4 linked regions of the Saccharomyces cerevisiae S288C genome follow. Changing the gene in region 3 together with the main gene of any one other region gives a genetic interaction. Each region holds a gene or a part of one and is shown on either strand. Other genes may lie near its edges. The genes, in order: SDD1, HST3, SAE2 and SMT3.

Region 1 (8,372 bases), on a different chromosome or scaffold from region 3:
AACGTCTTTTCGTGGTGCTTCTTGCCCTTGACTTTCTTACCTTTCATCTTCTTCTCCTCCACCTTATTTTCGTGGCAGCCACCCTTATGGTGAGGCTTCTTCTTCTTATCATCATTATCATCATCATTGGAACTTTCATGCTTAGGCTTCATGCCCTTTCCTCCCTCGTGGGCGCTCCCATGAGAGCCACTTGCACGTTTACCGTTGAATTCCGGAGACTCCTTGTCTTGGCCCTTGCGGCCCTTCTTATGGAACTTTCCATGTTCTTTATCTTCAGAGTCAGATGGCTCCTCATCATCGTCCTTAGTGAATTCCACTTTTCTGGGTCTCTCGTGGTGATCTTCCTTGTTAATCAGTTCGTGGTGGTCGGCGGCATTTTCAAGATTTGGGATGACCAAAGCAGCAGAGATGCTCCCTAGGGCACCGAGTGTAAATAGAGTATTTTCTAACTTCATCTTTGCTTGTTAGAATTAGGTTTAGTTTGTTTTTTTATTGGCGATGAAGCTAATTGGACTCTTAAGTTTGTATGGGAAGAACTCCAATATAACGGGACGTAACATTGGCCCCCTTTTATATTCATCGCGCTCTTTATCGCGGGTGTGTTTGCCCCCGCCACTCCCGCAGTCCTGGCGTGATAAGCCACTGCAGTGGCATTACTGAGCCCAAATTTTGCTTTTTCAACAAGTCACCTAAATTTCCAAAGCCGAAAGCCCTGCTACTCTGCTAACCCGGAGCGTTTAAAGTCCACGGACATTTCCCAGCCCTCGTTTTTTCTCCTCCCGGGACCCCGGGCATAAGTGCATAGTAGGCACAGACCTGATCTGTCGGGTGCAGTTTAAAAAAGTCTTGGCAAAATTTTTTATTTATCACACTACTGTGCTATATAGAGTATATGTAATTTTTAACTATTGGTATATGTGTCCGTGACCTCGTAGTTAGTGGCTGATTTGTCGGGTGCAATGCAGTGTTCAAAAAGCCTCTTAAAAGGCGAGCAGACGTATTCGGCTCCTTTGAATTGGCACTCCCATTGCACAAGCTCTTTCAGCCGGCAGTTGGTTTGTGAGTCAAGCGTTGCTAACGGTGCGAGCGCTTGGTCCCTAGTGCGGATGGTGGTTGGAGGCGCCATGAGGGTTGATTGTCTTATCTGCGATAGATGAGTCTTTCTTTCCTTCTCTTTTCCCCTTTTCTCCCCCCCTGTTTCTCGTCCATCTCTATCTGTCTATCTGTCTTATCTACTGTTAGTTTTTTTTTCGCTTTCACGATACCGCATTACGTACTGCGCTGCGGAAGTGTGGATGAGTGGCATATACACTCTTCTGCAGAGGATTTTCGTACACAACGGTGTGTGTGTGCTGTGAAGCTGTCTGCTTCCTTACTTGGCTGTTTGCTTGCTTGTGCGTCATGGTCACTTTTGTTAGAAGTGAGCCGCATAAAATGGCATGTCGGCACAGCCTACAGTTAAAAATTAAGCATATCTGACTGTTTATCTGTTTATCTGTTTATACACGGTGAACTGTCACGAGAACCCTTACTTGCACGATTAGCAGATTGTTCAGAGAGCCTCGCTCGTTGAAGTTCTTCTATATGCCAGCGTGTTTCATGTAGCAGGAAACGTTGCTCTATTTATATCTTTTCTGACATTTTGCGTCGTCGGGAAAAAAAAGATTAAGTAAGAACAAAAAACCGTTAATGGTTTCAGCAATCGAGACAAGTACAAGGACCAAGGCAAAGGTCAGCAGTAAGCTTAGAGACGATGAAGGTTGATTACGAGCAATTGTGCAAACTCTACGATGACACGTGCCGCACAAAGAATGTGCAGTTCAGTTACGGTACGGCCGGATTCAGAACGCTGGCCAAGAATTTGGATACGGTGATGTTCAGTACTGGTATACTGGCGGTTCTCAGGTCGCTGAAGCTTCAGGGTCAGTATGTGGGGGTGATGATCACGGCGTCGCACAACCCATACCAGGACAACGGGGTCAAGATCGTGGAACCAGACGGATCGATGCTTTTGGCCACATGGGAGCCATATGCCATGCAGTTGGCCAATGCGGCCTCTTTTGCCACTAATTTTGAAGAATTTCGTGTTGAGTTGGCCAAGCTGATTGAACACGAAAAGATTGATTTGAATACAACCGTCGTGCCTCACATCGTGGTTGGGAGAGACTCTAGGGAAAGTAGTCCATACTTGCTGCGCTGCTTGACTTCCTCCATGGCCAGCGTCTTCCACGCGCAAGTTTTGGACCTAGGCTGTGTCACTACGCCTCAATTGCATTACATTACTGATTTGTCCAACAGGCGGAAACTGGAAGGAGACACAGCGCCAGTTGCCACAGAACAGGACTACTATTCGTTCTTTATAGGAGCCTTCAACGAGCTCTTCGCCACGTATCAGCTGGAGAAGAGGCTGTCTGTCCCAAAATTGTTCATAGACACAGCCAATGGTATCGGTGGTCCACAGTTGAAAAAACTACTGGCCTCCGAAGATTGGGACGTGCCAGCGGAGCAAGTTGAGGTAATCAACGACAGGTCCGATGTTCCAGAACTGTTGAATTTTGAATGCGGTGCGGATTATGTGAAGACTAACCAGAGATTACCCAAGGGTCTTTCTCCATCCTCGTTTGATTCGCTATATTGCTCCTTTGATGGTGACGCAGACAGGGTTGTGTTCTACTATGTCGACTCAGGATCAAAATTTCATTTGTTGGATGGTGACAAAATTTCCACTTTGTTTGCAAAGTTCTTGTCTAAACAACTAGAATTGGCACACCTAGAACATTCTTTGAAGATTGGTGTTGTGCAAACTGCCTATGCAAACGGCAGTTCCACCGCTTACATAAAAAATACGTTGCACTGTCCCGTGTCTTGCACTAAGACAGGTGTTAAACACTTGCATCATGAAGCTGCCACTCAGTACGATATTGGCATTTATTTCGAAGCAAATGGACATGGTACGATTATATTCAGCGAAAAATTTCATCGAACTATCAAATCTGAATTATCCAAGTCCAAGTTAAATGGTGATACGTTAGCTTTGAGAACTTTGAAGTGTTTCTCTGAATTGATTAATCAGACCGTGGGAGATGCTATTTCAGACATGCTTGCTGTCCTTGCTACTTTGGCGATTTTGAAAATGTCGCCAATGGATTGGGATGAAGAGTATACTGATTTGCCCAACAAGCTGGTTAAGTGCATCGTTCCTGATAGGTCAATTTTCCAAACCACGGACCAGGAAAGAAAATTGCTCAATCCAGTGGGGTTGCAAGACAAGATAGATCTTGTGGTAGCCAAGTATCCCATGGGAAGAAGCTTTGTCAGAGCCAGTGGTACGGAGGATGCGGTGAGGGTTTATGCGGAATGTAAGGACTCCTCTAAGTTAGGTCAATTTTGTGACGAAGTGGTGGAGCACGTTAAGGCATCTGCTTGAAAGCATTATTCGATGTATAGTATAGCTATTTAGATATACAGAGAGATAAATGAAAGAGAAAAAATATTGGTATCAATCAACGTTTGTTACAGGCTTAGACTTTGGTTTGGTAATTGAAATTCATGGTAGTGGAAATAAACAAAATTTTCCTCTTCAATTTTTTTCGTCGTTTCGCTCTGCAATCGAAAATCAAATAATCTTCATAAAAGAAATCACTTTCAATAAATGAACTTCTCACTACCATAATGGATGATGTGGCCGATTCGAAAGCAATACGGTTGATTAACACGGAAACCCCGAGTGATAAGTCACCAAAAAAAATTCTCTTTACGATGAATGTTCCGAATTTGTTCTCCTCTTTACAGTTTTCGTTGGAAAGGTATTTATATGTAATTTCCTTCAGAATTCTCTTGTTTTCTATGTTGGCATTGTCGAGATGAACCTGTTTCAGTATGGCATTGGGAAAAAGTGTAGCTTGTAACTTTAAAACTTGATCATGCAGTGTTGCAGCTAAATTATCCAGAGTAAAAATTTCCTCTTTGGAGTAAATGCCTAGCAAGTTTTTCAGCTGACTACTCCAACCTCGCCTGGCCCTGTGCTTTCTACTTACACAATCTTTGTGATTTGGTGGTAAGGTTTTTGGAAAATGAGGAAGAGTATCTAGTTGTTGGGTAATGTTTCTTTCCAAGAATGATATTTTTTTCATTATGACGTCAATTTCTTTAGAATAAGCCGAGAACTGTACAGTTTTAAAACCCTTTCTGTTGTCATTCCTCTGAATCCCATCATTTGCCATTTAATTTTCAATTTAGTTACTAGTCAATTTTCTTTTTCGCCTTTTGTATTCCATAATATGAATATAAGCTTGGGCTTGCCGATTTTCTCCGCTTAATATTAAGCCTACGCATGATGTAGGTTACATTTTGAAGGGTTTCTTTTAACTTCCTTACTTATTTATATATGTATGAACCTACACAAGGCATTTTACCCTTATTTCTTCCCGCAACATTTGATAAAAAGTGGAAGACGTTTGTGATTGTTATTATCGCCCCAATTTTCTCCTTTTTTTCTTTTCCTTCAACGTCAATCAATTGCACATTCAGCCGATTGGCTTTCTTAGCGCAGGATAGGGTGTCGGGGATACCTGTGGGAAGTTAGTGACACTTTTTTTTCCACTCTCTTCATGGAATCCCCGGACGGCAGCCGCCCGTCCCAATTTTGGCAAAATTGACATCCTAACTGCACGAATTCTCATCGCGTATCAGAACTCTTGAGCCTTCAGTTTTACTACTCAATGCTCTGATTTATCTATATATACATAAATGAAAATAATACGTGCGCATTTATAAGACAAAAAGTTAGAATTCTGACCACGATTGCATGCTGTAGATAATTGTCGTGTTCATTCTCTCTTTAACGGCGCCTCAAGAAGAATATAAAATAATTGCTCTTGCAGTCTCAATGAGTCGGTATGTTCAAAGTGGTGCCCAACATTTACTAATATTGGACTGCGGTACAAAATCGGCGGCTAAACTGTCTACCGATAAAATACTCTTGATTTATAAGAATGAAAAAGAAAACAAAAAGGGATGACCCCTGAAAAAGTTTGTTTTCTTTACCCTTTTTTATGTTAAATTTTACATTTATTACCGTTTACGTCAATCGCAATATACAGGTGGGGCATTGTTATTTGATTTCATAATCTGGTGAGAACGTTATCACGCGGATTATTTAGTTTTTTTAAACCATGTGCGAAGAAATTCTCATATATTGTAGGCATTTCTGACTCAAACTTCTGCTGCTTAAAATAGCTGTTTTCACCTTTTTTTTCCTCTTGTTCTATTTGACATGCTCCCTTTCTTCCTCGGTCCTTTCAACCATTTCCATGCTCCTGTAGGCTCAGGAGCAGAGCGAGGAAAAAACTTCCCTACAGAAAGCTTTCATGTTTTTAACCGGTTTCCTTTCAGCTTTTTCTTTTGGAGTAATCTAGAAAGATTAGGTCATTTGTTCAGTCTATTTGATACTTGATGAGTAGCTCGTCTGTTCTGTTCAAAATAACAATTTGTGAGGTGTACGGATGTTTTCACTGGCATTCGTCGACATGACAAAGACAAACCTTGAAAATAATAATGGAGAATAACTAGAAAGACGTTACTATGCCTCTAATACTTCTGCCTCTCTTATCTCTCCTATCAATTGTGGTTAGCCTAGTAGTCACCAAATAGCAAATTACCAATCAACTATGGAAAACCAAGAGAAACCGCTTTCTGTAGACGAGGAGTACGATTTATGGAAATCCAATGTTCCATTAATGTATGACTTTGTTAGCGAGACACGTTTAACATGGCCATCTTTAACCGTCCAATGGCTCCCTACTCCTGTTCAAGAATTAGATGGTGGCTTTATTAAACAAGAATTAATCATCGGTACGCACACTTCTGGTGAAGAAGAAAACTATTTGAAATTCGCAGAAATTAATCTACCAAAGGAAATTCTTAGTAATGAAGACCCACAAGAAGAAGCAGGAGAGGAGTATCAGTCCTCTCTACCTGCTCCTAGGTCAAATATAAGGATTACCGCTAAATATGAGCACGAAGAAGAAATCACTAGAGCCCGATATATGCCTCAAGACCCTAATATTGTCGCCACAATAAATGGGCAAGGCACAGTTTTCCTCTATTCTCGCTCAGAAGGTCTTCAGTCAACACTAAAATTTCATAAGGATAACGGTTATGCTTTATCATTTAGCACTTTGGTCAAAGGGCGATTGCTTTCCGGCTCAGATGATCATACAGTCGCTCTCTGGGAAGTGGGGAGTGGCGGTGACCCTACAAAACCAGTACGAACTTGGAATGATTTACATTCTGATATTATTAATGATAATAAATGGCACAACTTCAATAAAGATCTATTCGGCACTGTTTCAGAAGATTCTCTCTTAAAAATAAATGACGTCAGGGCAAACAATACTACGATCGATACTGTGAAATGCCCGCAACCTTTCAACACATTAGCATTTAGTCATCATTCCTCAAACCTCCTTGCGGCCGCAGGTATGGACTCGTATGTTTATCTATATGATCTAAGAAACATGAAGGAACCATTACACCATATGTCGGGTCATGAAGATGCAGTGAACAATTTGGAATTTTCAACCCATGTTGACGGTGTAGTTGTATCCAGCGGGTCAGACAATAGATTGATGATGTGGGATTTGAAACAAATTGGAGCAGAACAAACACCTGATGACGCGGAAGACGGCGTTCCTGAATTGATCATGGTCCACGCAGGTCACAGAAGTTCAGTGAATGATTTTGATTTGAACCCTCAAATACCTTGGTTGGTAGCAAGTGCTGAAGAAGAAAATATTTTACAAGTTTGGAAGTGTTCCCATAGTCTACCCATCGTGGGAGGTCCACCAAAGGTGAACAAGGATATAATAAGCTAATATATAGTTTTTTTATTGTTTCTTTGGCGAAAAGGCGTAATTAAACAAAGATCAACATACATAATCCGATTTTGAGGAGTGATAAAATATACTTAGATTATTCCTTATCCATTACAGTTTGCTTTTTTGAAGATAGCCAATTGATGAAATCAATAAAAATGTTAGGTCCACATTTTCCTTTTTGCATCCACTCTTTGGTAGTTGCAGTATACAAGTCAATCAATTCGTCAAGCTTGTCGTTACCACCGATTTCAACGTATAACTTACTCAAAAACAGTGAGCTGGTTGAGCACATTGAATAAAACACTGCAGCATGCTGACCTGGCTTAGAAGTCAGCATCAGCTTGTGTGTTTTTTTCAACAAATCCATAAGCTCGATGTCTTTGTTCATGTCTTTGAATGCAGTTACTTTTATCTTGAATATTTTACCCTTCAACAATTTAGAAATTTTGTCGGCAAGTGGCCTATCAAGAGTTTCATTGACACATTTCAGCATTGGGATAATAAAATAAACGAGCTTGCTTAATGAGCCTCCTAAATTGTTGGAATGTTCACTTTTATTAGCAAGAGTCAATTTTTCACAATATTTGACGTAAACGGCTAACATGTCGACAACTCTATGCTTGAACGAGATAACGTTTTCCCTAGATTGTTTTACCTCAAATTTCCTCTGGTTTCCAGTAGATATGCTTGATAATGCTTCCTTACGACGTTTGAAAATTTCGGATAACTGATCATCTAATTCCATCATTTTTTCATCATCCATAGACTCCTCATCTTCATCGTCTCCACCGTCGTCAGAAAGCCCTTCGAGTTGGTCTAAGTCAACTTCCCCTTTATCATTAACTATGTTATCGGGTAAATTTAACGCCTTCACTAAGGCGCTAGTGGCCTCTTTATCAATATTCAAAATATCTTCATTTGCCTCGTCTTCTTCATCTTTTTCATCAGCATCATCGCTATCACTCTCACTTTCACTTTCACTTTCACTACCAGTTTTCGATTCGTCTTCACTGGCATCATTTTCTTCCTTAATTTCTTCAAATTCTTCTTCTCCTTCGAATAGCTGGGCAAAACCTTGCTTGTTTTCTCTCGCTTTTAAAATATCTAATAAAATTTGCAATTCTTCCAAACCAACTTCTTCAATAAACTGCTGCCAGATTATTAAACTCAATTTCCTGAGTAAGGCCTTCTTTTGGGCTAAAAGTGATAGTAAGATTTCAGTGATGCCTACCATTGAGTTATTCTCGTGTTTGGAAAATTCGCAAAGTTCTTCGATCACAGAAATAGAATCGGTGTCACCTGCATATAATTGTACTAAGCACATAGATAACAACGTGCTTAGACCCCAAGATTGAGCAGTTCTTGATCTGCAAACTTTACTCAAGCAAGATATAGCTTCGTTTTTTATATTTTCTAAATTTTCGTCCAGTGGATTGATTAAATCTCCTACATGAGAATTTTCAATGTCCAGTATTAACTTTAATGTCAGATATT
Region 2 (8,637 bases), on a different chromosome or scaffold from region 3:
TAAAAGGTATTTTCTTTACGGAAAGCCTTCGAGCAATCCAGGAGAAAGTGGACCTTTTTTTCCCAATGAAGAGATCATAGGAGTATGGATTGAAAATATAATAGAACTTCGGGTAACGAGGTGTAATTTCACAGTCCATAATACAGAGCTAACGGTTTAAGGGTAAATAGTTATCTAAGTCAAGTTTTGAAGGAACAAGTAAGAAAGGTCGCTACTGTTTCTAAACATAAGATATACAAAAATAAATATAGCTATCTCAATGGGTGCTGCATACAAAGTATTTGGGAAGACGGTTCAACCTCACGTATTGGCTATATCTACGTTTATCGCTACTGCTGCAGTGGCATCTTACTTTACCACGAAACCAAAAACCAAAAATGAAGGCAAGAATAGTTCTGCCTTGAGCCAACAAAAAAGCGGTGAAAGTTCAAACTCAGATGCTATGGGAAAGGACGATGATGTCGTAAAGAGTATTGAAGGATTTTTAAATGATTTAGAGAAAGATACGAGGCAGGATACGAAAGCCAACTGATTATGTATAAAAATTTCTGAAATGGTGGTGTTCTTCATCGTTCAGTGAAGGGATGCACTGATTTCTATAAACTTGAAGCACTTTTTGAAACTACTGTTCTATAACGAAAATTAGCGTCCTTCTTTCTATTAAGTATGCATTATACATATAATTCAATATATTCTGAATAGCAAAACGGCAATGAAAAAAAAAAAACACTGAAAATACTTGCCTTAGGCCATTGTGCATGATACGAATATGCACAAAACTTGCCTCTTTTTACTTTACGGATCAATGACAACACTCAGGTGTAAGTGATAGTTGATGGCCTTTCAATATTTGAAAGGCTGGAAGATAATTATAAAAAATCGAACTAATTGCCTATGATTGTTTCATTACTGAGACTATTTTTTCACCTCAAGGGGGTCGTCTGAATTAGCAAAGCCATGGCAACTAGTGCAGTGCTTGAAGTCACCAGCTCGTTTGGTTTTAGATGCAAGTAATGTAAAGAAATTAATTTAAATAAAATAATAAAAGTTTCTACTTTTTTTTTCAATTAAAAAGCATAATACAACCAATCAATTTTATCCTATTTGGCCTGACAATGATGATATCATAAAAGTAAACGGTTCCTTGTTTTTATTTTTCTTGCATGCACTTTTCAGAAGTCTTGGTAGCGCTACTAACGCAAAATACGAAATATTCATTGGCTAATAAACTTGATTTTTTCATTGAATGTCGTTTTTGAACTATATACAATATAATTAATGCTACGACCCTAAACTTTTCAACTAACTCTTTGACAAGGAAGCATCATCACTTATTACAACCATAGAATGTTACTTAAAGGACTGTTCTCATCTACATCAACAGATCGTCCAAACTTTGAGCAGAATCCTTCTTGATCAAATCCAACATCCCTTCAGGCAAAATAGGTTTACCTTCTTTATCTAAAACGTATCTAAATGGCATTTCCGTGGCCTCATTTTTATTGAACCTAAATTCAGGGTAGTCAATGAACTTGATGTCTTCAAATGCAATCCTGTCTTTGATAATCAACTGTGTTGTTCTTATGGCAGTATCCGTAGTCATTTGTTTATCACCTAGTCTTCTGCTAATTAAAAGATTCGGATAGGCAGTCTTTAGTTCTTTGGTACGATCTCTTGGAGGATGATCACCCAATATGCCACCAAATACGAAATAGTCGAATTTCGTAGCATCCTCCGGCTGTAAATCGATTGTAGCCCTAGGGTCCAATAGACAGACTCTGCCATCTTTTAACAGTTCCAAATCCTTGAAATCTTCGTTAATGCCCTTCAAATCCTTTGTAGTCCATCTTAAACCAAGTTTTAGTAGCCTTTGAGGGATGTCCTTTTCCGTGGTACTCTCTGGTAACGATGATAAAATCAAGTTTTCAGCTCCTACTTCTCTCAGGATTTGGCTATACTCTAAAATGACCCATTCACTAAACCCTTCCTCCATATGCTCAATAATGTACTTCATCGTATATCTAGAAATAATCTCCACAGCTGTATCAATCTATATTAACAATAGATATGCCCCTCAACATCTAATAAGCAAAGGGCATTGCTCTTTTACAATACTCGATGAGCTTACCGAAAATTTCTAATCCAAAATAACGGAAAAAATTGAAAAGGTGTCAATCCTGTTACCCGCAAGTTGAAGTACGGAAAGAATACAACCTTACACAGTGGAACTATAATAGACAGTAAAGAAAAAAGTTAAAAAAAACTTGTGCCTTGCGTTTACTGATCAACCAGTCTTTCTTTTTACATATATTTCTGATGCATTTTCATGTTTACTTAAAATTTCTTTTAGGATAAACGCTGCAATATCCGGTTCTTCGAAATAAGAAACATGTGATTTTATAGCTGATATAAAATCCACTTCTAGCAGACTTGGAGACATAGCATAATCTAGACGTCCGGTGTAATTCAAACCTGTAAGCATTCTCGTAAGATTTTCTGATAACTTGACCTCTTTTTTTTCTGGAGAAGTTTTTTTGGACTGCAAATTATTTTCATCAGTACCTGGCAAATCTTTCCATATGTTTTCGCCAAATTCCAAAACTTTAGAAGTTAGTCCATAAGCTTCACTACAATGTGGTAAATAAGTTTGTTCGTAATGAGCCATTTCTTTACTAACAAGAGGTTCCATCCTATAAGAAATGGGATCACAGACGTGGTAAACATTATAAATGTCCTTACATTGCGGTCTCTGTACGGTTAATTTTCTCTCCAAGTCATTGGGAAATTCGGGACGGTCACCAATTTTTGTTCTTTGAATTAACTTTAACAATCCAATTGGTGAGCCAATAAAGAACAGGTTGTCTACTTGAAATTCTAATTCATATTTTTTTTGTTTGGATAGAATATCAAATAATATCATACTACCCAACGAATGGCCCACTAAATGGACTTTCCCATCAAACTCTGGATTAAATTCTTTAAAAATCCGATATGTTTTGTTCAATTGAGAGGTTACTTGTTGTAGAATCATATCTTGGTAGTATGGTTCGACATACAACAAAATATCTAGTAGACCGTCAGCCAGTAGCTTCCTCAAGGGTAACACTCCATTTACTGTGACTTGTGACAAAGTCGGTAGGTCAGGATTTTCTATATTTTCCTCCTTAGCATCCGTTTGGAAACTTATCGAGTGCCTCCAGGTGATGGGTAGCACTTGAACGTTACAGTTGCTTTTATAATCAGGTGCTGTGTTTAATGATTGTAGTTTCTCAGAATTATTGTAGATTTTTTTCATATTAGACCTAAGTAGATTTACCGTGTGTGCGAAATTTACGTATTCGTACTTCTTACCCAAAGTCTGACCTATACCGTGAACGCATAGTATCAAGTTATCCACATCTCTTCTGTTACTTCTAATTTGTCTATCGCTTGCGCCCGAATTTTTGCCATCTTCTATTTTGCTACTAGCATTAGCGCCTTGACTGTTATCTGCATTGTTATAGTCTGTTTCCATTTGCTTTTCCAAGCTCTGTGCATCATCTTGATCTTTACTAGCATTACCATTGAACAACTGTAAAAAGTCCGATAAATTGAAGAGGTTTGAAACTTTCTTTTCTAACTTTGTTTCAATGCTCCTCGATTTGGAACTGTTACTACCATCTGCTACTTCCGTTTGAGGCGTTTTTGCTGCCTTAAAAGATGTGGATGTCTGTTTAGTAGTTGCGGAGGATGAATATTTGTATGATCTTGTAATCATTGTAGCATTAATCGGTAAGGATTGAGCCAGATTAGACCTTAGAAAGGCTAATTGCAGTTTTCCTCCATCTAAATCCGATAGTAAAAATGCAGTTTGTTTATTGGCAAACAAAATAAACTTGAAAGTAGATTCGTTCTCATCTTTATTGCTGGATCCATTTTTTTGCTCTCCTTCGTTTTCTTTATCGACTGGGTATTTACCTTTGAGCCTAAATATATCTTGCGATTCTGCAGGAGGTGTCGTGGTCGGATCATCATTACTGTCGTCGAATTTGAGCTGCTTATACAACCCTTCAATTTCGGAGGTAAGATCACTGGACAAAGGTTGATTTGAAGAGTCGAACCACACACCTCTTCGTACTTGATAAGTAGGGCCTTCCCAATAGGTAGGGGACAATTCCATGTGAGAGAGGTCGACTTTAAACAGGTAATCTTCGTTGACTAAAACAGGCCTGCGTTCTTGACGCTTACTGGCCTTTTCCAAACGATTAGAATCATCAACGGAGAACGGCTTAAACTTTTTGGGTGAGTGTAAAGTTTGATATGTGGGTAAATAGGGTTTGGAGTTGGGTACGTCTATGGCATAGAACCATGGTACATAAATGTGATTTAACCTTACGAAAATGTTTCTAAAACGAGTGCTGGAGGGAAGGCCTCGATGAGTAAACCGTAGCATTTCAAGTAATTGTTCACTGTGAGTATATTCAGTGATCTTCAATATTAGGGAATATGCAAAAAAATACAATCCACTTTTTCTTCCAAAGCGACAAATTAGGTCAGAAAACCAACAGAATATTATATTACGTAATTTACTTATTTATATGTGTGTACTATGTATGAGAACCACGCAGTCTTGATTTCGACCTTAGATTGTAATAAGATGATGATTTTGCTGCAGGATCAGGACCCTCAAGTTCATTAGTCAAAAGGGCCGCTTTTCTTGGTTTCTTGTCAGTGGGATTTGCTCTCAACCTTTCTCTTAAAGGTAAATCTTCCATGGGAGTAGAGCTATTCAAGCTCAGTTTTCTCTTACGCAGCAATTTTCTTTGTAAGGAGGAGGATAGCACTGGCGGAGAGGGTGGGTCCGTAGTCGTTGTTGTTGTAGCCGTTGCTGAGAGAGACGGTGATGGGACGTAAGAAGCTTCGTCATCAGATTTGGAAGATTCCTCTTCTTGCTCCTTTTGATATCTTAATTGAATTTCACGTTGCTTCAAATATTCATTCAAATCATCCGGAGTTTCATTAACCATGTCAATCAGTTTTTTGAAGTCTTCTTTATTTTGGTATAGTTTTTCTAAATGAGGAGTGTTCTTGACAGTCTTTGGAGCCCGCGTATGGTTCTCGGAGTGGTTGATTGGTGATTGTGGTTTTGGGATTGCAATGTCAGAGGGTAGGTAGTCTTTGTTTGGGTCCAAATTTAGTTTCTTGAACTTAGATAAAATTTCCGGATCCTGCTTATCATTAGGAAGTAGTTTTTGGTTGTTTAAAACTGCCAATGGTTGGCTTGAATATAGTTTAGAATGTTTTAGTCGAGTATGGTTCACGATACCTTGCGCGGAAGTGAAACCGGAACGGTCACATTTGGAGCACGTAATTATAACCAAAATGCCGTCATATCTTCTAAAAATGGGCTCATTATTTTCAGTCTTACCGATGATACCGCTATTGCTCGTCAAACAAGTGCTACTGTAATTACGTCTGTGGTTAAGATGCATCTGACTTGGTTTAAAAGGGAGTATCTGGAACCCCGGCTGCTCGTCTAAGGGGGAGATTGAGGAGGAACGAGGTGAAGAAATGCCATCCGAATTAGAGTGAGGAAGCGAGACGGGAGTGGGCTTGGTTATGGCTTCTGATAGAGATTTAGAACCTGTTAGCCTGTAATCAATTATATTCGAATTTGCCGGACGGAGGGCAGAAGGTTCTAGCAAAAGCCCGTTACTCTTGCTTCTAGTATGATAATGGTGGTGTGGTATGCGTGTTGTTGACAGATTTCTGTTGCTGCTCGAAGACAAAGGCTGACAGTTGATGTTATAATCCGATAGAACCGGGTATGACAGGTTATAATTTGATGCGTTCGTATTTTCCGTAGCCGTACTGTCGTGAAAGTGGCCGCCGAGCACGCTATGCTGCTGATGTTGTTTTATTTTGAGTTGATACGTCCGTTCGATTTTGTTCAATAGACCAGTATCCTTATGCAGGGTTTCCAAGAGAGCTAGTTTTGCGTTAACCTTTTGAACATTTCTTCGTAAGTGCCTAACATGCTTGTGGTTTAGCATTATATGTAGGTTCAAAACATTCTGTATTTCCCCTTTGGCACATTCGTACTTCAACCGCTGGGTATTTTCGCTATCCTTGTCCGGATTACTGGTGGCGGTGTCCATTTTGAAGGGCTCATCCATGTTGTTTTCCAAATCCTGAGGAGACTTTGGCGTGGTAACCTGATAAACGTTCGTCATCTTAGAGGATGACGATGAGGAAGAATTAGGATTATGATGCTGGTGCTGCAGTTTATCTTGGGCGGGACTCATCATGAGGAGATGGACATATACACAAAGTGTTGGATGAGAAGCGTGAGCCCGAAGAGTAGTGAAATGCCGAAGATCAGGGTGTTTATATGAACGAACACTAGCTTACAAATGTGGAAACGGGATCCTTCAGAGGTAAAATGCGCCTTCAGTGGCCAAAGTTCATCACCTTCCTTAGCACGGGTTCTTGCTGTCTGCTCTTCCTGCTTCTTCCCTGTTCGTTTTTCCCTCTTCCTACGGCTATGCACAGTGGCAAATGCACTGCATGTGTTTCTGTGGCGGGTATCCCTCAATTGCGGGTAACAATAAGTAACTCAACATCACGAACGACGTTTATGTTTGCTGTTACCACAAAGGGTAAAACGTCAATAAAAGCAAGCAATGTTATTCGTGCCAGAGAACTATATCTGGCGTACGTCTTATATATAACACAAGCAAGGGCAAATACGTGGTTAGTGGTGTAAAAACTGAAGGGATTAATTTACATACAACTAGATCCATCTTTCTCAAAAATGACTTCAGTATCGCCCTCGCCACCTGCCAGTCGATCGGGCTCAATGTGCTCCGACTTACCGTCCTCTTTGCAGACTGAGAAACTGGCACATATTATAGGTCTTGATGCCGACGATGAAGTTCTCCGGCGCGTAACCAAGCAGTTGAGCAGATCTAGGAGAATTGCTTGTCTGACTGGGGCAGGCATTTCGTGCAACGCGGGCATTCCTGACTTTCGCTCTTCTGATGGGCTCTACGACCTAGTGAAAAAGGATTGTTCACAGTATTGGTCTATCAAGTCCGGCAGGGAAATGTTTGATATTTCGCTATTTAGAGATGACTTCAAAATATCCATTTTTGCTAAATTTATGGAGAGGCTCTATTCAAATGTTCAATTGGCAAAGCCGACTAAGACGCACAAGTTCATTGCGCATCTAAAAGATAGGAACAAACTGCTGCGCTGTTACACGCAAAACATCGATGGGCTCGAAGAAAGCATAGGACTTACTTTATCAAATAGGAAATTACCGCTTACCTCATTTAGTTCACATTGGAAAAATCTGGATGTCGTTCAGTTGCACGGCGACCTGAAAACTCTTTCGTGTACAAAGTGCTTCCAGACTTTTCCCTGGAGCAGGTACTGGTCTCGTTGTCTAAGAAGAGGTGAGTTACCATTGTGTCCGGATTGCGAAGCACTTATCAACAAGAGATTGAATGAAGGAAAGCGAACTCTTGGTTCTAATGTGGGTATTCTAAGACCTAATATCGTCCTGTATGGTGAAAACCATCCATCCTGTGAAATTATTACGCAAGGCCTAAATCTTGACATAATTAAAGGCAATCCTGATTTTTTGATCATCATGGGTACAAGTTTGAAAGTTGATGGTGTGAAACAACTGGTAAAAAAATTAAGTAAGAAAATTCACGATCGTGGCGGCCTGATCATTCTCGTAAACAAGACACCCATTGGCGAATCCTCTTGGCACGGCATTATAGACTACCAAATCCACTCAGATTGTGATAATTGGGTCACATTTCTTGAATCCCAAATACCAGATTTCTTCAAGACGCAAGATCAAATTAAGAAGTTAAGACAGTTAAAAAGGGAGGCGAGCGACTTGAGAAAGCAAATGAAGGCCCAAAAAGACTCAATCGGAACCCCCCCAACAACCCCTCTACGAACTGCCCAGGGGATTGATATTCAAGGAAACAACGAATTGAATACAAAAATAAAGTCGTTAAACACAGTTAAGAGAAAAATACTGTCACCAGAAAACTCCAGTGAGGAAGACGAAGAGGAAAACTTGGATACAAGAAAACGCGCTAAGATACGACCAACTTTCGGTGACAACCAAGCCTCATAAACTTAACTATTAAAATTGAGTTAACGATAAATAATCGAGGCAGACACCCCTTTGCATAATATATCATCCGTTTAATTTATCTTCCATTTATATACTCATACATATACCAACGGAGATCTGCATGTCCGAGAATACAAAAAATAGTGAACGAAAAAAATATCACATCGCGAAAGAAAAGCTATCTGATATCTGCAACACGAAAACACAACAGTCGCGGCATGCAGATAGTACAAATTGAGCAGGCCCCAAAAGACTACATAAGCGACATCAAAATAATCCCTTCCAAGTCACTGCTTTTGATTACGTCTTGGGATGGCTCTTTAACAGTCTACAAATTCGACATTCAAGCAAAGAATGTTGACCTTTTACAATCGCTACGATATAAACATCCGTTATTGTGCTGCAATTTCATCGACAATACCGATCTGCAAATATACGTGGGAACTGTACAGGGTGAAATTCTAAAAGTTGATTTGATAGGTAGTCCCAGCTTCCAAGCT
Region 3 (8,343 bases):
TATTTCTCGAATATGCCTATAAGGATTTTCTCGAAAGAAGGGCTTCGGGAAAGAGGCGCCTCAGGCAAAAATGAGCAAAAAAAAAAAAAAAAAGAAAAGATTCGAAGATCTATGAAAAATTTATGCAGATTCGTTGAGAGTTATAAGGATTTTACTCTTTATGGTTATAGGTTTCATTCTAAAATCAAGCATAAATTTTGTGTTTTGTCTTCCTCTTTTCCTGTCCTCTTTTTTTGCCATCCTCTGTCGCCATTGAAGTCGAACTTTATAGATAGATTTACTCTTGATTCTCACGCATCTCAGGCCACCTGGACACTGTACATGGTTGTGATTGTTCTCTTTCTCAGTTATCGAAATTGATCCTAGGCTTATACTCCAAAATCGGCTCTGCACACGCCTTATTTTTGTGGTTTCACTTTACTAACACAACATTCTTTTATTCAATCAGATCAATAACGAACCATTTCCATCTGCCGACTCAGCATCGATTTTAACTACGTCTACATCAAATAACTCCTTAATGTCTTACAATCATCAGCCTCAACTATCTATTAACTCCGTCCAATCACTCTTGGAGCCCGTGACCCCTCCGCCTTTGGGCCAGATGAATAACAAAAGAAACCATCAAAAGGCTCATTCGCTTGATCTCTCTGGTTTTAATCAGTTCATATCATCGACACAATCTCCCTTGGCTTTGATGAATAATACATCAACATCGAATTCTGCTAACTCTTTTTCCCCGAATCCTAATGCTGCTAGCAACTCCACTGGGCTTTCAGCCTCAATGGCAAATCCTCCAGCCATTCTACCATTAATCAATGAGTTTGATCTGGAAATGGATGGTCCCAGGAGAAAATCAAGCCACGATTTCACGGTTGTTGCTCCTTCGAACTCTGGTGTCAATACCTCCAGTTTAATTATGGAAACACCATCCTCTTCAGTGACTCCTGCTGCATCTCTCAGAAATTTTAGCAATAGTAATAATGCTGCTTCCAAATGTGGAGTGGATAATTCGTCATTTGGTTTGAGTAGCTCAACGTCTTCATCTATGGTCGAAATCAGCGCACTACCCCTTAGAGATCTGGATTATATCAAACTTGCCACTGACCAGTTTGGCTGCCGTTTTCTTCAAAAAAAATTAGAAACCCCCAGTGAATCCAATATGGTGAGAGACTTGATGTATGAACAAATTAAGCCATTTTTCTTGGACCTTATTTTGGATCCGTTCGGTAACTATTTGGTTCAAAAACTATGCGATTATTTAACTGCCGAGCAAAAGACATTATTAATACAAACAATATATCCAAATGTTTTCCAAATATCAATCAATCAGTACGGAACTCGTTCCTTACAGAAAATTATAGACACTGTCGATAACGAAGTTCAAATCGATCTCATTATTAAGGGATTTTCCCAAGAATTTACTTCGATTGAGCAAGTGGTTACTTTGATAAACGATCTTAATGGTAACCATGTGATTCAAAAGTGTATTTTCAAATTCTCGCCATCAAAATTTGGTTTCATCATAGATGCTATTGTAGAACAAAATAATATCATTACCATTTCTACCCATAAACATGGTTGTTGCGTACTACAAAAATTACTAAGCGTTTGTACTCTACAACAAATTTTCAAAATTTCTGTGAAAATTGTGCAGTTCCTTCCTGGATTAATCAACGATCAGTTCGGTAATTATATCATCCAATTTCTGTTAGATATCAAAGAATTGGACTTTTACTTATTGGCTGAGTTATTTAACCGTTTATCCAATGAATTATGTCAACTATCTTGTTTGAAGTTCTCCTCAAATGTTGTGGAAAAATTCATTAAAAAATTATTTAGAATCATTACTGGATTTATTGTTAATAACAATGGGGGTGCCTCCCAAAGGACTGCAGTTGCTTCTGATGACGTGATTAATGCTTCTATGAACATTCTTTTGACTACCATTGATATATTCACAGTCAATTTAAATGTGCTAATCAGGGATAATTTTGGTAATTATGCGTTACAAACGCTATTAGACGTTAAGAATTATTCTCCTCTGCTTGCTTACAACAAAAATAGTAACGCAATTGGGCAAAACAGCTCTAGTACATTGAATTACGGTAACTTTTGTAACGATTTTTCATTGAAAATTGGTAACTTGATTGTCCTTACAAAAGAATTACTTCCAAGTATTAAAACTACATCCTATGCAAAGAAAATTAAGTTGAAAGTTAAAGCTTATGCAGAAGCCACAGGTATACCATTCACTGACATATCTCCTCAAGTCACTGCAATGAGTCATAACAATCTTCAAACGATTAACAACGAAAATAAGAACCCCCATAACAAAAATAGTCATAATCATAATCATAATCATAATCATAACCATGCTCACAATAATAATAACAATAATAATCAAAAGAGTCATACCCGTCATTTTTCTTTACCAGCTAATGCTTACCATAGAAGAAGTAACAGCTCTGTAACCAATAATTTCTCAAACCAATATGCACAAGATCAGAAAATTCACTCTCCGCAACAAATTATGAACTTCAACCAAAACGCATATCCCTCGATGGGAGCACCTTCTTTCAATTCTCAAACTAACCCACCATTGGTAAGCCATAACTCGTTACAAAACTTCGACAACCGCCAGTTTGCAAATTTAATGGCACATCCTAATTCTGCTGCACCAATCCATTCGTTCTCATCATCTAACATTACCAATGTGAATCCTAATGTTTCAAGGGGATTTAAGCAGCCTGGATTTATGATGAATGAAACCGACAAAATTAATGCTAATCACTTCTCGCCATACTCTAATGCAAATAGTCAAAACTTCAATGAATCTTTTGTGCCTCGTATGCAATATCAAACGGAAGGTGCAAACTGGGATTCAAGTTTGTCAATGAAGTCGCAGCATATTGGTCAAGGCCCATATAATCAAGTTAATATGAGCCGCAACGCTAGTATTTCCAATATGCCTGCCATGAATACCGCTAGAACATCTGATGAACTTCAATTCACTTTGCCATAATACTTTTTTTTCTTTCTTTTTCTTTCCTTCTTACTGTACAAATATTTTACGCAGAAATCAAAGACAAAAGAAAAATAAAAAATAAAAAATAAAAAATTCAACTAAGCAATGACGTCCTACTAAAGTCCCAAAATTTGAGCCGGAAAAAAATGGTAAAGCAAACTATTGCCATCTTTATATTTTGTATTCTGTTTCCGAACACGTATCCAAAATCCTCCCACTGCCTTTGCAGGGTTAGCATTGCTCCCTACCAAAATGATCTAATTTTTTTTTGAATCGTTTTTTGTCAACGATTATTTTTGTTTTAAATTCCTCATCTTCTGAACTTACGCCCAACTATTATTTAATTCATTCATTCATTAAGCAATCCATACGTCCATTCATTCATTCAGTTTTCTTTTTGTCTATTACTGTCATTTTATTTTCAAATCCAATTGTCCTTTAGGACACTAATGTGTTAAAATATCCATTCGCTCAAGCATTTTTAATAAATAGGAAAATACCGTTTGTTTTTCTTTGTCATTTGTATAAATTTTTCTACTGGTTCCTGTCTTGGTTGGCTTTATTATATTTAGGTTTAACTTGTACTAACAATGATACATATTTGTATATTTTATTATAATATCATATCTAACTATATCTAAAATCGTTGAACTATTCAGAATGGAATTGTACACCAAGAAGAATTATGCTATAACACCATAAGGTCATTACATTTGGGTTTTGACTGCTAATTAGTTCGAAGTCGGCGTTAAAATTTAAAGAATATTTATACATATGAATATGTATATGAATGCAAAGTATGCTAAAATATTTATAAAGCAAAAATCTCGGTGGGCTAAACTAGGTCAAAGCAGATGTTATGAAGATATTGGCCCCATTGTAGGGATCATCTTCTCTCCGAATTAAGATGCATATTTTTTGAGAAAGTGCTTCTTCAGGTATATCGTAAGGTGAAGTACTGCTCTCTTCACCTAGAGGTTCCACAGCATCAAACGGATTTACGTACCTTGGGGGTATGAAAGCCGAATGTAGGTGGATAGATTCAAACTGGAAGTTTTCTAACCTACAGTAGTTCTTCATACCTCCTATTGGATAGAGGGTGATATTTCCACCTTCGGATTTTTCGTAGTCAAGATTTCCAGATAAAGTGGTACAAAATACTTCAAAATCACCCTTTCCGTCCCTAGCGCTAGTTGAACCATAAATGAAGTAGCGCCCGTCATCCGATATCTCGAGTATTTCTGTATCCTTAGTCACGTTTAAGAACTTAGTTTTAAAAGATACAACCGGGATTTCGGTCAGAATGTCCTCCAGGAACGTATCTGCTATAACCAGTTGTTGCACATTCTCTTTGTCTGCCATTCCAGATATAAGTATTAGGCCTTTATTATTCAATGCTTTTATGGAAACAACAGATTTTAGGGAATTTCTGATAGGTTGATTTCGACTTTCTGATGTCATACCGTTGGTCTTGGAGTACTGTAATGTCATGTTTGTAATATTAGTGAAGACTATTGCCATTGAATCACCATTTCTGTAACCTAAATAAAACACACCGGTGTTCGTTTTTTTTAAAGGTGATAAAGCATCTTCTTGTAGACAAAATGATAGGGAAGTAATGTCACTCCTACTTTTGTGTTTTCTTGAGCTTTTGGCAGGAGAAAAGATATAGGGATTTGGAAAGGTTTCTGGAATCAAATCATAAAAATGACAACGATAATTTACGGTAATAATCAACGTGTCTCCAACAACAAGAGAATCATGGACTTGGCAATTTTCTTTGAGTTTGACCTGACGAATTTTGAGCAGTTTTAAGGAAGAAAAGTCTTGTAAAAAGATGGCAAAAGTATGCACGTTAGATCTGGTATTAACGTTGTGATAAAAATAATGGCTCGGCCCTTCCTTGATGGCAACTGTTCTCTCAAGTTTCATTGTTTTGAACACATCAGTTGGCTCGGACTTATATTTCAACATAGGATTTAATTCAGCCATGGAAAACCCCGTAAAGAAATTTTCTTCAGAAAAATTATCCAGGGATGAAAATCCTGCGACATAGCCCTTGTTTGTTGCAAATACTAATTTACTATGAAAACATCCTTCTTGAGTTACCAATAAAATACAATTTGCTAATACTCCTATCTGTATCCTGTGTGGAAAATTGAGTGATTTTACGTTAGCAGAACTATGTGAGTGATGACCTTCAGTGAGAGAATGCGATGCATACTGCATATTTAAACCAATCATGTACTTTTCATATGATAAAGGGCGAAAAGCCCTTTCCAACGGATTCAGAAGACTAAGCTTGTACTTTTGTAATGTTTGCTGACGTTTTTTTTTAATCATAGAAAATTTTTTATCGTAATTTTCCTCAACACATTGTCGCTTTATATTATCTTTTCTGTACTGGTTCGTCGTTCCCGTGGTAGAAATGCTTTGATTTTCAGATATGCGAAAATAACGTCGACGTTCTCTATCATAATAAAACCCTGGTAAGTTAGGTGTCATTTGTTTAACGTCCGTTAACTTCCCCTTTCTGCTTTACCAACTGCTGCTTATTTATTCGCCCTTTTTTGTTTTCCATTGTTGTTCATCTCATTGCCTTTTTTTATTTTTCAGTTTTTCCCATATGCCAACGAGGAAAAAAGCCCTTTCAACCATACCAAAAAAAATGTATTTGAAGTAATGAATAAAGAATGATGATCGCTGGCGTTTAACATCTAGCATATATCTGCAATAATTTATCACTCCAGAAGAAACATCCATCGTCAACAATTTGATTTAATTGTTCTCTTTTGAATACATATTCTCTCTCGTACGGTGGGATCTTGTTATTGCTTGCCATTAAAAACCTATATTTTGTCTTTCTTCTGATGATTTCCTGGGATTTCTTTTTGTCCTCGTTCCCTTCCTGAGTGGAGGGAAAATCCAGTCTTCCAAAACCTGGGGGGGATTTTGATCTATTCCTCAAGTTATCAAACGCAAATTCGTAGTCCGAATTTTGCGATTCTATAACTACTGACAATGATCTGTGTTTAGAATCCTCTGGCTTTCCAACTTGGGCATAAAATCGCTCCAATTTTCTTCTTCCTCTCTTAACCGGGGCGATATCTTCATTTGGTCTAAAGTCTTCGAGAATCCAGGCTCGCTTTGTTAAAGGGTTCGTATTGAAGTCAAACAGGAAATTATCCTTAACATTTTTGTATAAATTTGGCGATGTAGATTCAGGGTTCTCGAGCTCTATTCCCAATAGTTTTCTTGTTTTGTTCTCTTTATCATTATCTTTTTCGTGGATTACAGTATCAGAGCAATCTTCCAAATCGCTTAAGTTGTTGAGGCCATTTAAAGGCGAACTAAACTCCGAAATTTTCCGTTTATGCCTATTAGGTGGCATAGTAACCAGCGGTAACTGCACAGTGTGTTTATTTTCATTACGATAGTGAACCTCTGCTGATTCTTTCTTTATGTCCTCATCAAACTGAGTAAGGATGAAATCTTCAGAATCTTGCTCACCTGGCCCCGCAGACGTCTGAGAGGATTGTTGAGGAGCATTTTTTTCGTGACATAGAATTTCAGCCAGTTTACTGTTAGGTTCTTCGAGAACACATTTATTCCGATTTTGCAGTGCTTGAACACGTTTCGCGATTAAGGTAGTCACGTCATACTGCACATTTAGTAGTTCATCGAGACTGAGCTCCTTGAGAATGGATAAGCTTGACTTTAGATACACATTTTCTTCACCAGTCACCATCTCACATACAAACACCTAATGGCTTACAGCATGGATGGAAATGCAGGTATGTGAACGATAACAATGTTTGCAAACGTAAACAAAAAAGGTATTAAAGCTTAAAAGCTTTTTTTTTGTAGAACGCGCTTAGAAAATGGCATAAAGAAAATGGCTATTTGACTTGATTTTGAAAGTTGTTCTCAAGACTCGAATGGTGGAAGATAACAACAGGACGTTTATTACATGGCATTGCATCAGTATTTATCAGAGACTTATGGGCCCACGAAACCCAAAAATAAGACGAAAAAGAAGAAGAAAGAGTCAAAATCAGACGCTAACTCAGACAAAACTTCTTTGATAGTAAAAGAACGGCTAAGTACACTGCAACAAGAACAGGAGAAGTCAGGAGTTGCTTCATTCAGCAAGTTTGACAAACAAAAAAGCAAGAATATATGGAAGAACCTGGAAACAAACGAGCTTTCCCATGCAATAACACATCCTTCCGCATCGTCAATTACTGGCAACGAAAGCAAGAACGATCTAAAGGAAATCAGGGCTCAAGAGCCACTTGTCACAGTAGCAGACAAATCGAAAACACGAAAAACCATATACAGAGACGCTCAAGGTCACAAGATTCAGGAAGATTCCAAGATAGACGATTCTAGTTTTAGTCGATCTAAATATGAAGATGAGAAAGCCGCGGAAAGAGAGCAATACCTGAAAAATTTGAATATGGGAGACGTGCAAAAGCTTGGAATAAATGTAGATGCACATGATAAGAAGAAAAATCAAACTGCCTCGAGTCTGACGATAGAAGACCCTGCAATAACATTTACACATGACAAAGAAAGAACTGTAAAAACATCTTTACTGGGCCGCAAGCTTTATGATAAGCCAGCACCTGAGAACAGGTTTGCCATTATGCCTGGGTCAAGATGGGACGGTGTCCACAGATCAAATGGCTTTGAAGAAAAATGGTTTGCTAAGCAAAATGAGATCAATGAGAAGAAAGTGCAAAGCTACACCCTACAGGAGGATTATTGAAAATGAGATAATATATAACTATGCGGAAAGCTTTGTGTAAAAAATACCCTTTGACAATCCCCATTTGTTATAAGCTTTTTCTTAACAAGATCAACGATTAAATACAAATACCCCTCTTTATATAGGTCTCAGATATACTATTAAAGTAACCTCGAATATACTTCGTTTTTAGTCGTATGTTCTAAGTAGATTCGTCTTTTTTATTATCACGGTCAGCAGCATTGCTTTGTGACTTTGGCGATTGACATTCAGTAGAGTTTGTGCCAGAAGAAGGTTTAATCTCGCCTTTCCTACTGTTCTTTGTTTCTCCCCCAATAGTTGAACCATTGCTGTGCTGTTTACCATTAATGAATTTTTTCAAATCTTGGCTTTCCTTTTCATTGACAACAATACGACTTCCTTGATCTGAAACATTTGTCATAGGAGGTGGAGGTGGGAAGGAAATCGGTTGTCCAAACCCATGTGGTGCTGGTGGCGGAATAGACATTCCATTCATATTAGGGTAAGGCATCTGGTGAGGGTGTAATGGGTGAAGACCATTAGG
Region 4 (7,737 bases), on a different chromosome or scaffold from region 3:
GGGGCTTAATCTTGGGACAGTATCGTAATTACGATCAATTACCTCACCGTTTAAAGACTCCTTTCCAATTGTGCAGTGAAGTTCTTTCCAGGATTGAAATCGATGATTCGACAAACTTGCGTGAAACTGAATTGTCGTTTTTGCAGAGTTTGAGGCTACCGACCACTTTTGAAGAACGTAAAGCAATTCAAAATCTGGTCCGTTCCATTACGAGAAGGTCTGCATATCTAGCAGCCGTTCCGATTGCCGCCATCCTAATCAAGACAAACGCTTTGAACAAAAGATATCACGGTGAGGTAGAAATTGGTTTTGACGGTTATGTCATCGAATACTATCCTGGATTCAGATCCATGCTGAGACATGCTTTGGCATTAAGTCCAATTGGCACTGAGGGTGAACGTAAGATACATTTGCGTCTAGCCAAAGATGGGTCCGGTGTTGGCGCAGCTTTGTGTGCTCTGGTGGCATAAAACATATCTGTTCTTAACAGCTTATTTTTAGTTTGTTTTCGTTTTCCTCTATATAAATATCTTATGTATCTGTTATATAAAAAATTATTTAGTACGAATTGAAATGAAATGTTATGTTATATTTTTAGAGAGAATCTGCTATTACTTTATACATGTTAACTATATACATAATAAAAAAAAAAAAAAAAATATTGTCTAAAATTAATCATTTATTTGTAAGTTTTGTTCAAACTGCCTGCTAATTTCACCTTGGTCATAGCTCTGACTCTTTTTCCCATTTTCATTACTGGGAAAGAAGTTTGGATAGCCCATATAAGAATAATTGTCTAAATCGTTCGGTCCCAATAGTTTCTCAATGTTGTATTTTTCAGTTTCGTCATCATTTTCATCAAAATTACTTTCCATAGCGTATTCAGCCCAATTTTCGCGCCTAATAAAATAGTTTTCCAATGGATTGAAATCATCTGCCATGTTCTTCTGAGCACCTTCTATGCTTCCAAGGGCAATTTCCAAATGGTTTGTTTCTTTATGTTGTAAAACTTCTCTCATAGATGCCAAAATTAAATTTGGGTCTCCACCAAGAGATAAATTAACCATACGGTAAAATTTCCCTATCAAACTCATGGGGATAAATCCGTCATTGGCTTTTTTGAATTTAGATCTTAAAAATTCATCTGTTTTCAAGTTCTCTTCACTAAAATAGAATTCAATTTGGTTTTTGATACTTTCGATAGATTTAAAAATAGGTTCCATTGAGTAATAATATGGTGTTTGCAATTGTTGTTGATAGTTGATGTTATTATAATACTGCTGTTGACGGAAGTATGACAGTTGTTTATAGCTATTTCTTGAATTGTTGTTCAACCAGTGGCTGGCATTGGGAATATATTCAGGTCTAGCCTGATAATTATTTGGGAAGGAGATGGCATTATTAGCCGCCTGACTGTGTCTACTATTGTTGTTGTATCTTGTTTTGCCATTCCTGTTTTGATAATTTCTTGATTGTCTACCGTTGGTTGAATTGTTGTTGTTTGTTATCCTCTTTATATTCCCATTGGCAGTTGCTCCTGAGCTTGAATGTATGTTTACTTTAGCGTTAGCATCTAAAGGTTTGGATTCAAGATTGGAAACGTTACTTATTTCCGATGTACTGTTGGTTTGACCGTTAAAGTCCTTTTTATTGATATCGTTATTATATTTGCCACGCTTTTTCATTTTTTTATTAGTCTTAGAATTTTTAGAGTTCTTTCCTGACTTTGAATTTGTGTCCTTGGAACCTGAGATTATAACAGACGGCGTAATTGGAGTCCATTTGGTATTGCTTGTTAATTTAATTGACCCCGAACCATTTTTACTTGGCTTTGCAGTCTTTGATATATCTCTTAGTTCCTCTACAGGAATTACTGTATTGCTATCTGGCGAAGATGATTTCCATGGCGATGTGGTTGGTATTGGTGCCAACTTTAAGGATGAAGTTTGTTTCTTCTTATCTTCAGCTGCTGAGGATGTATTTTTTGGATTATCATTGAGGTTTTGCGATGACATTTTTGAATTCACTTTATGATTGATTTTCTTTATCTTGGTTATATTTTTGGGCTCTCTCGTTTATTTAACGCCACCCTAAATTGTGTCTTAACAATACGCTTCCTCTCAGTATTTTTTTTTAAATAAAAAAATATGATAGAACTGCTGAACACTACTTTTTAAAACCTTTTAATAAATAGACAAGTGTCAACCAAGGATGTGCCAATTTTCCTTTGTGATTCAGCTGCGCTTGTATGTGCTTCCAGCTTTACTTTTACTAATTTTTTCATAAGCACAAAATAGTAAGATCTTTTTTCTCTTGGCGGTGAAAAATTTTGATTCGATGGATCAATAACATACTGCAAAAAACGGTTTGAGGACATATGAATACTGCATTTACTAGTAATTTGCCTAGTATATAGTTTGACTACACAGATTATAAGCTATTGTATGAGTAGCTCCACAAAGTGCAAGAAAGCATACGAAGCGGTAGTCAAAATGGTTACGCATAGATTCAACTCCAAAGCAGTCCGCAATTACCATCAACCACAAGGTTTAAACAGGAGTCTGGCAACCCGCAATGCAGCTAGAGTTAGGGGTATGGTCCCTTCAAGAAGAGGGGGCGTGGGACTGTATAAGAGTTCAAGTAGCAAGTTGATGAATAAACTAGGAAGACAAAAGACATGGATAAATGAGTTTGAACATTTTAATTCTCTGCACGAAATTGCATATACCCCTAACATTGCGTTAAGTAGTGAAATCCAAAAATATTTAAAGGCATTGGAAACAAACTATCGGTCCATCTATGAGAAAAGTTCAGAATTACTGGATAAGAAGCTGGAAGAAATTGACAAGAAATGGATAGAGAAAAACGGGTGTATACCTGATGCATCTAAAGACGATGTGGAGAAAAATCTAAGAAAGCAATATTTAGCAGATGTACAGGACGTAAAAAACGAACATATACCTGTGATGAATTGTGAACCTGGTGGGTCTCAGTTCAAGTATCTCTGTAAAACTATTGAGTTATTATCATCCAACAAGACAATTTGTTTTGCCATCGATGTAGAGGCATTTGAATTTGATACAGACATTGTTACAGAGATTGGCATCGCCATATATGATCCAAGAGAAAACATTTATTCCTTGATGCCGATTATAAGAAGTTATCATTTAATTGTTGCTGAAGCGTTACCGTTAAGAAACAAGAAATTCGTATGCGACTTTAAAGACTGCTTTTTACTTGGAGAAAGTCTTGTATTACCATTGGAACAATGTGTAGAGTTCATTCAGTCGTTGATTAATTTCTATATGAAATGTGAGACGGACCAAGATACAACCTGGGAAAGAGCGTTTGTGGGTCATGCTATAGCGGGGGATATTAAGTGGCTGAAGAAAATTGGGGTCCATGTACCTGAATTGGATAATGAACTTACCAAACCGGAGGACTCAACGGAGAGCAAAGGTGTTAGAAAACATGTTAAGATGCTTGACACAGAGAAAATTTATAGCATGTGTTATGGCAAGAAGGGTAGCAGTTTAGGTAAACTACTAAGGCTTTTTCACTTGCCACATGCCTTCTTACATAACGCAGGCAATGATGCATATTACACGTTGCTCCTGATGCTGAAGTTAGGAGATTATAACTTTAGAAAGCAAATTGGGGCAGATGATTTAGAAACAATGGGATATAGGATAAGAGAATGGTTTAAGCGTGAGGCGGACGAACCCAAAATTTTGCCAATGTCGTACGTGCTAAGTGTGATGAATGCCAATAATAGCAAACCGAAAGTTGATGATAAGGGAAGAAAGAAGCCGAGGGATCTTGTACCTCAGACGGAATTTAGCGGGTCTCATTGGTTTCAAAATGCACGCGCAGCCTTCAAAAGTACTCTTGTGTGAATCTAGCTAGAAGTTTTGTAGGTATATGTGATTTAAGATATAGATAATAAAAGATATATATATGTAAATATTATGAAGGGGATATTAGCGTAATTTAAACTATTGAAATACCGGCTTCAATATTTCAGCTAACTTGCCATTTTTCTTCAAAGTTTCCAAATCGCTGTTACCACCAATGTGCTTGCCATTGATGTATACGTTAGGTACAGTTTTTTGGCCCGAGATTTCTTCTAAAGCGTCTTGAATCTCTGAGCCATTGCTCATTTCATCTAATTCCAACACAAGGGCCTTGGATTTGGGAACGTTCAATTCTTGGAAGAGGGTAGACAAAGTAGCTTTACAGTAAGGGCAGTATGTCTTTGCTGCAACAAACACTTCCTTTTGGCCAATCAGATCCTTTACGTGAGCAACTGTTTCCTGGGATACCATTTTTGGAGTAGATAAAAATCTTTTAGCAATAATTCTTGTGGCAAACAACGTGATAATGATAATAACAATTAAATTCGAGTCGAAGGAAAAATTGGTCTCCATGAAACAATATATAACAGTAGTTGGAGTGTCCGTTAATCAAGAGGGCACCTTTTCTTGGCGTCCTGGGACTTTTTATATGAAAATTCATGAAGAAAGTGCGGCGGGCCCCTTTGCGAAGGGGGCCGAAATATCGGATCTTAGTAATAGTTCTGCTATTGGATGTGGTATTAGCATAAATCAAGAGGGAGGCGATGGTTCTATTAGGGTAAAAGAGAGCAGCTTGAGGAAGAAACAGGAAAGGATGAGTACAAAATATCCGACAACGATGAGTTGCCGAGAGGCATTTGATCAACTGACGAGTTGCTATTCGATTGGAGGGCAATTTAGAAGCTATTACAGATATGGAGATTTTACATCATGTGACAAGCAGGTGTCCAAATTCAAGTTTTGTATTATCCACGGCAATGACCCTGTGAAAGTGCAGGAATGGTATAAAGATCAGGTTTCCAACAATAAGGCATTGGAAAATACCAGTGGGGTTATATGGCAGGAGAGGGAGACCACTGCAAATAAGTGAGATTTTTAGCTTTTTTTTTTTAGCATGTGTACTATATAGTATATGGATTTCTTATTTACAAGCGCAATAAAAAGACGAACACTAATCCTTGTTGTTCCGCTTCACGTCCTTACTTGATTCTATTTCATTGTCTTGGTGAAGTTTCTGTGTTTCCTTCATCAATTCATACAGTTGAACTGTTTGCTCAGGGGATAGTTTCTCCAGGGTTTCCGAAGATAAAGTGGCATCTTTCCATTTACCGTTGGAAATCATGTGGAGATAATCTTGCCAGGAAGCTAAAAAGCCGACTATATGCAACGGGTTATCGATATCTTTGTGCAACTTGAACTCGTTTCGCACGTATTGGTCACCCATCTCCCTTTGGGGACCAGGTAGCAGCTTATGCTGCCTTAGTATCCTTCTGTAGAGAACCAAAGGTGGAAGTAAAAGCTGGCTGTTATGGGTTGCAAATCTAACCGAACGATATATGAGCTTGTTGTTCATGGTGAATGAAGACGGGAAGTTCTCTGTGGCACGTCGTGAAAGAATGCTTCTTTAATACTTGCTCATTTAACGGAGATAGTTTTTTTTCTTTAATTAAGAACAAAAGCTAGCGTACTGGTTAATAACATGGCGAAAAGCACTTCCTCCGCATCAGCTGGGAAAGAGGCGTGGACAAAACTATTCTTGTCGAACATATATTAATACTATGTTATATAATATGAATTATTTAGTTTTTTCATTACTATGGTATTTTTTGGTGGGTGGGGGGAAGGGAGAGGTTTGTTGGCGTTTTTTAGGCATTGTTAAGAGTCCTAATACGTAGCACCACCAATCTGTTCTCTGTGAGCCTCAATAATATCGTTATCCTCCATGTCCAAATCTTCAGGGGTCTGATCAGCTTGAATTCTAATACCGTCGTACAAGAATCTTAAGGAGTCCATTTCCTTACCCTGTCTTTTAGCGAACGCTTCCATCAGCCTTCTTAAAGGAGTGGTCTTTTTGATCTTGAAGAAGATCTCTGAAGATCCATCGGACACCTTTAAATTGATGTGAGTCTCAGGCTTGACTTCTGGCTTGACCTCTGGCTTAGCTTCTTGATTGACTTCTGAGTCCGACATCGCTCGTGTATTTATTTGTAAAACTAGAACTGAACTGGGTCCTTCTGTCCTATATGCTACAGGTGGTAACAAGAAACGGGAGCTTGGAAAAGGTAAGAAAAATCAACTAAAAGAGTAGAATGTGTTCGTTTGTTTGATTGTTGGTGTTTTGCTCTTTTCCTGCTTCCTGAACACCTTCCGACGGCGCGTGTTGGCAAAGCTGGGTAACCCAACATATTCATATCACATGATCAAAGAGTTCGGCGGCAAAAACGTGACATGCACGTGATGGAAACAGCATGGCTTTTTTCAGTTTTATTTTTTTTTTTCACTTTCAAAAGCATTATTCCTTGGGGACTACGTAATCAACGCGTTGGTCATTTCTTTTTCCAACGCGCATGACTAACCTACTATGACGACGTAGCCTTAATTCGGCATTACCGTATTATGCGACGTGCTTGCGATCCTTGAAAACGGCATCAGGATGCACAAAAACGTTTCAAAAGTGCCCCGCCGTACGGTATGCGGCGCCAAAAACCGGTGAACATGAAAAAGAAACGGCACAGGGACCATCAAAAATAGGAAAAAAGAATAACGCCGCATGAAAAGAAAGCGGATGGAAAGGCACGGCAACTCTTAGAGATGAAGGCGATGATGCGATGGCAGACGGACAATGAAATGTAAATTTGAAGTTTTTTTCGGAAATCGGTTTTAGTGTTCGTATGTCAGTTTGGCTCGGGTTGTGCAGTGTCGTTTCTTTTTTGAGTCCCTTCTTCCCCCACCTCTTTGATGTTAGAAAGAATCGGATTCTGTATATATAACCGATTTTTTTCACATTTCTGTTGATTTAAACATATTCCTTTCGTGCTTCTTCAAAGTTGAGAGTTATAGGTGCTTTATGTTTTTTTTTTTTTGTGTAAGAAAAAAAAACTATCGCTTTCTCAAGTAGCTTATATAATATCAAATATTGCACATTATGACGCTTGGTAATAGACGCCATGGGCGGAATAATGAGGGAAGCTCTAATATGAATATGAATCGTAACGACCTTGACGATGTTTCCCATTACGAGATGAAGGAAATACAACCAAAGGAAAAACAAATTGGCTCTATAGAACCGGAAAATGAAGTAGAATATTTTGAAAAAACAGTGGAAAAAACCATTGAAAATATGGAATATGAAGGTGAACATCATGCATCTTACTTACGGAGGTTCATTGACTCGTTTAGAAGAGCGGAAGGCTCGCATGCAAATTCCCCAGACTCGAGCAACTCTAATGGGACTACTCCTATATCCACAAAAGATTCCAGCTCTCAATTGGACAATGAGTTGAATCGGAAGAGCTCATACATCACTGTTGATGGTATTAAACAGTCACCACAAGAACAAGAACAGAAACAAGAAAATTTGAAAAAGAGTATAAAGCCCCGTCATACGGTGATGATGTCCCTAGGGACTGGTATTGGTACTGGTTTGCTGGTCGGTAACTCCAAAGTTTTGAACAATGCAGGTCCGGGTGGTTTGATCATTGGTTATGCTATTATGGGTAGTTGTGTTTACTGTATTATTCAAGCTTGTGGTGAATTAGCGGTTATATACAGTGATTTGATTGGTGGATTTAATACATATCCTTTGTTTTTGGTCGACCCTGCACTTGGCTTTTCTGTTGCTTGGCTTTTTTGCTTACAATGGCTATGTGTTTGTCCTCTAGAA

What was found.
Region 1: mutations in SAE2 (region 3) and SDD1 together harm fitness more than expected from each alone (negative genetic interaction), as found in Saccharomyces cerevisiae (one large-scale study listed by BioGRID).
Region 2: mutations in SAE2 (region 3) and HST3 together harm fitness more than expected from each alone (negative genetic interaction), as found in Saccharomyces cerevisiae (5 studies listed by BioGRID).
Region 4: mutations in SAE2 (region 3) and SMT3 together harm fitness more than expected from each alone (negative genetic interaction), as found in Saccharomyces cerevisiae (3 studies listed by BioGRID, with this or other methods).

What each region holds. Positions count from the first base shown.
Region 1 is NC_001137.3:41,499-49,870, forward strand, and holds SDD1 (Sdd1p), read right to left. Parts: upstream 4,224-8,372; coding exon 3,522-4,223; downstream 1-3,521. Other genes in the region: PRB1 (proteinase B), read right to left, coding at 1-455; SOM1 (Som1p), read right to left, coding at 902-1,126; HHY1 (Hhy1p), read left to right, coding at 1,154-1,462; phosphoacetylglucosamine mutase PCM1, read left to right, coding at 1,754-3,427; HAT2 (Hat2p), read left to right, coding at 5,670-6,875; POL5 (DNA-directed DNA polymerase), read right to left, coding at 6,973-8,372. UniProt on the Saccharomyces cerevisiae protein: Acts as an endogenous target of the ribosome quality control (RQC) pathway. During translation, the nascent chain has a propensity to stall ribosomes, thereby stimulating activation of the RQC pathway.
Region 2 is NC_001147.6:371,426-380,062, forward strand, and holds HST3 (NAD-dependent histone deacetylase HST3), read left to right. Parts: upstream 1-6,793; coding exon 6,794-8,137; downstream 8,138-8,637. Other genes in the region: MCO10 (Mco10p), read left to right, coding at 260-532; protein-arginine N-methyltransferase SFM1, read right to left, coding at 1,373-2,014; DDL1 (putative carboxylic ester hydrolase), read right to left, coding at 2,285-4,432; AHC1 (Ahc1p), read right to left, coding at 4,587-6,287; BUB3 (Bub3p), read left to right, coding at 8,356-8,637. UniProt on the Saccharomyces cerevisiae protein: NAD-dependent histone deacetylase, which contributes together with HST4 to histone H3 'Lys-56' deacetylation, regulation of telomeric silencing, proper cell cycle progression, DNA damage control, DNA recombination, and genomic maintenance.
Region 3 is NC_001139.9:167,547-175,889, forward strand, and holds SAE2 (ssDNA endodeoxyribonuclease SAE2), read right to left. Parts: upstream 6,777-8,343; coding exon 5,739-6,776; downstream 1-5,738. Other genes in the region: MPT5 (Mpt5p), read left to right, coding at 449-3,025; YGL176C (uncharacterized protein), read right to left, coding at 3,869-5,533; BUD13 (Bud13p), read left to right, coding at 6,999-7,799; chromatin-binding exonuclease XRN1, read right to left, coding at 7,981-8,343. UniProt on the Saccharomyces cerevisiae protein: Endonuclease that cooperates with the MRX complex in processing meiotic and mitotic double-strand breaks by allowing the endonucleolytic removal of SPO11 from the break sites and ensuring both resection and intrachromosomal association of the broken ends.
Region 4 is NC_001136.10:1,467,707-1,475,443, reverse strand, and holds SMT3 (SUMO family protein SMT3), read right to left. Parts: upstream 6,045-7,737; coding exon 5,739-6,044; downstream 1-5,738. Other genes in the region: EMI2 (putative glucokinase), read left to right, coding at 1-470; SLF1 (Slf1p), read right to left, coding at 672-2,015; YDR514C (uncharacterized protein), read left to right, coding at 2,445-3,896; dithiol glutaredoxin GRX2, read right to left, coding at 3,996-4,427; EMI1 (Emi1p), read left to right, coding at 4,381-4,944; SDH7 (Sdh7p), read right to left, coding at 5,026-5,427; glutamine permease GNP1, read left to right, coding at 7,000-7,737. UniProt on the Saccharomyces cerevisiae protein: Not known; suppressor of MIF2 mutations.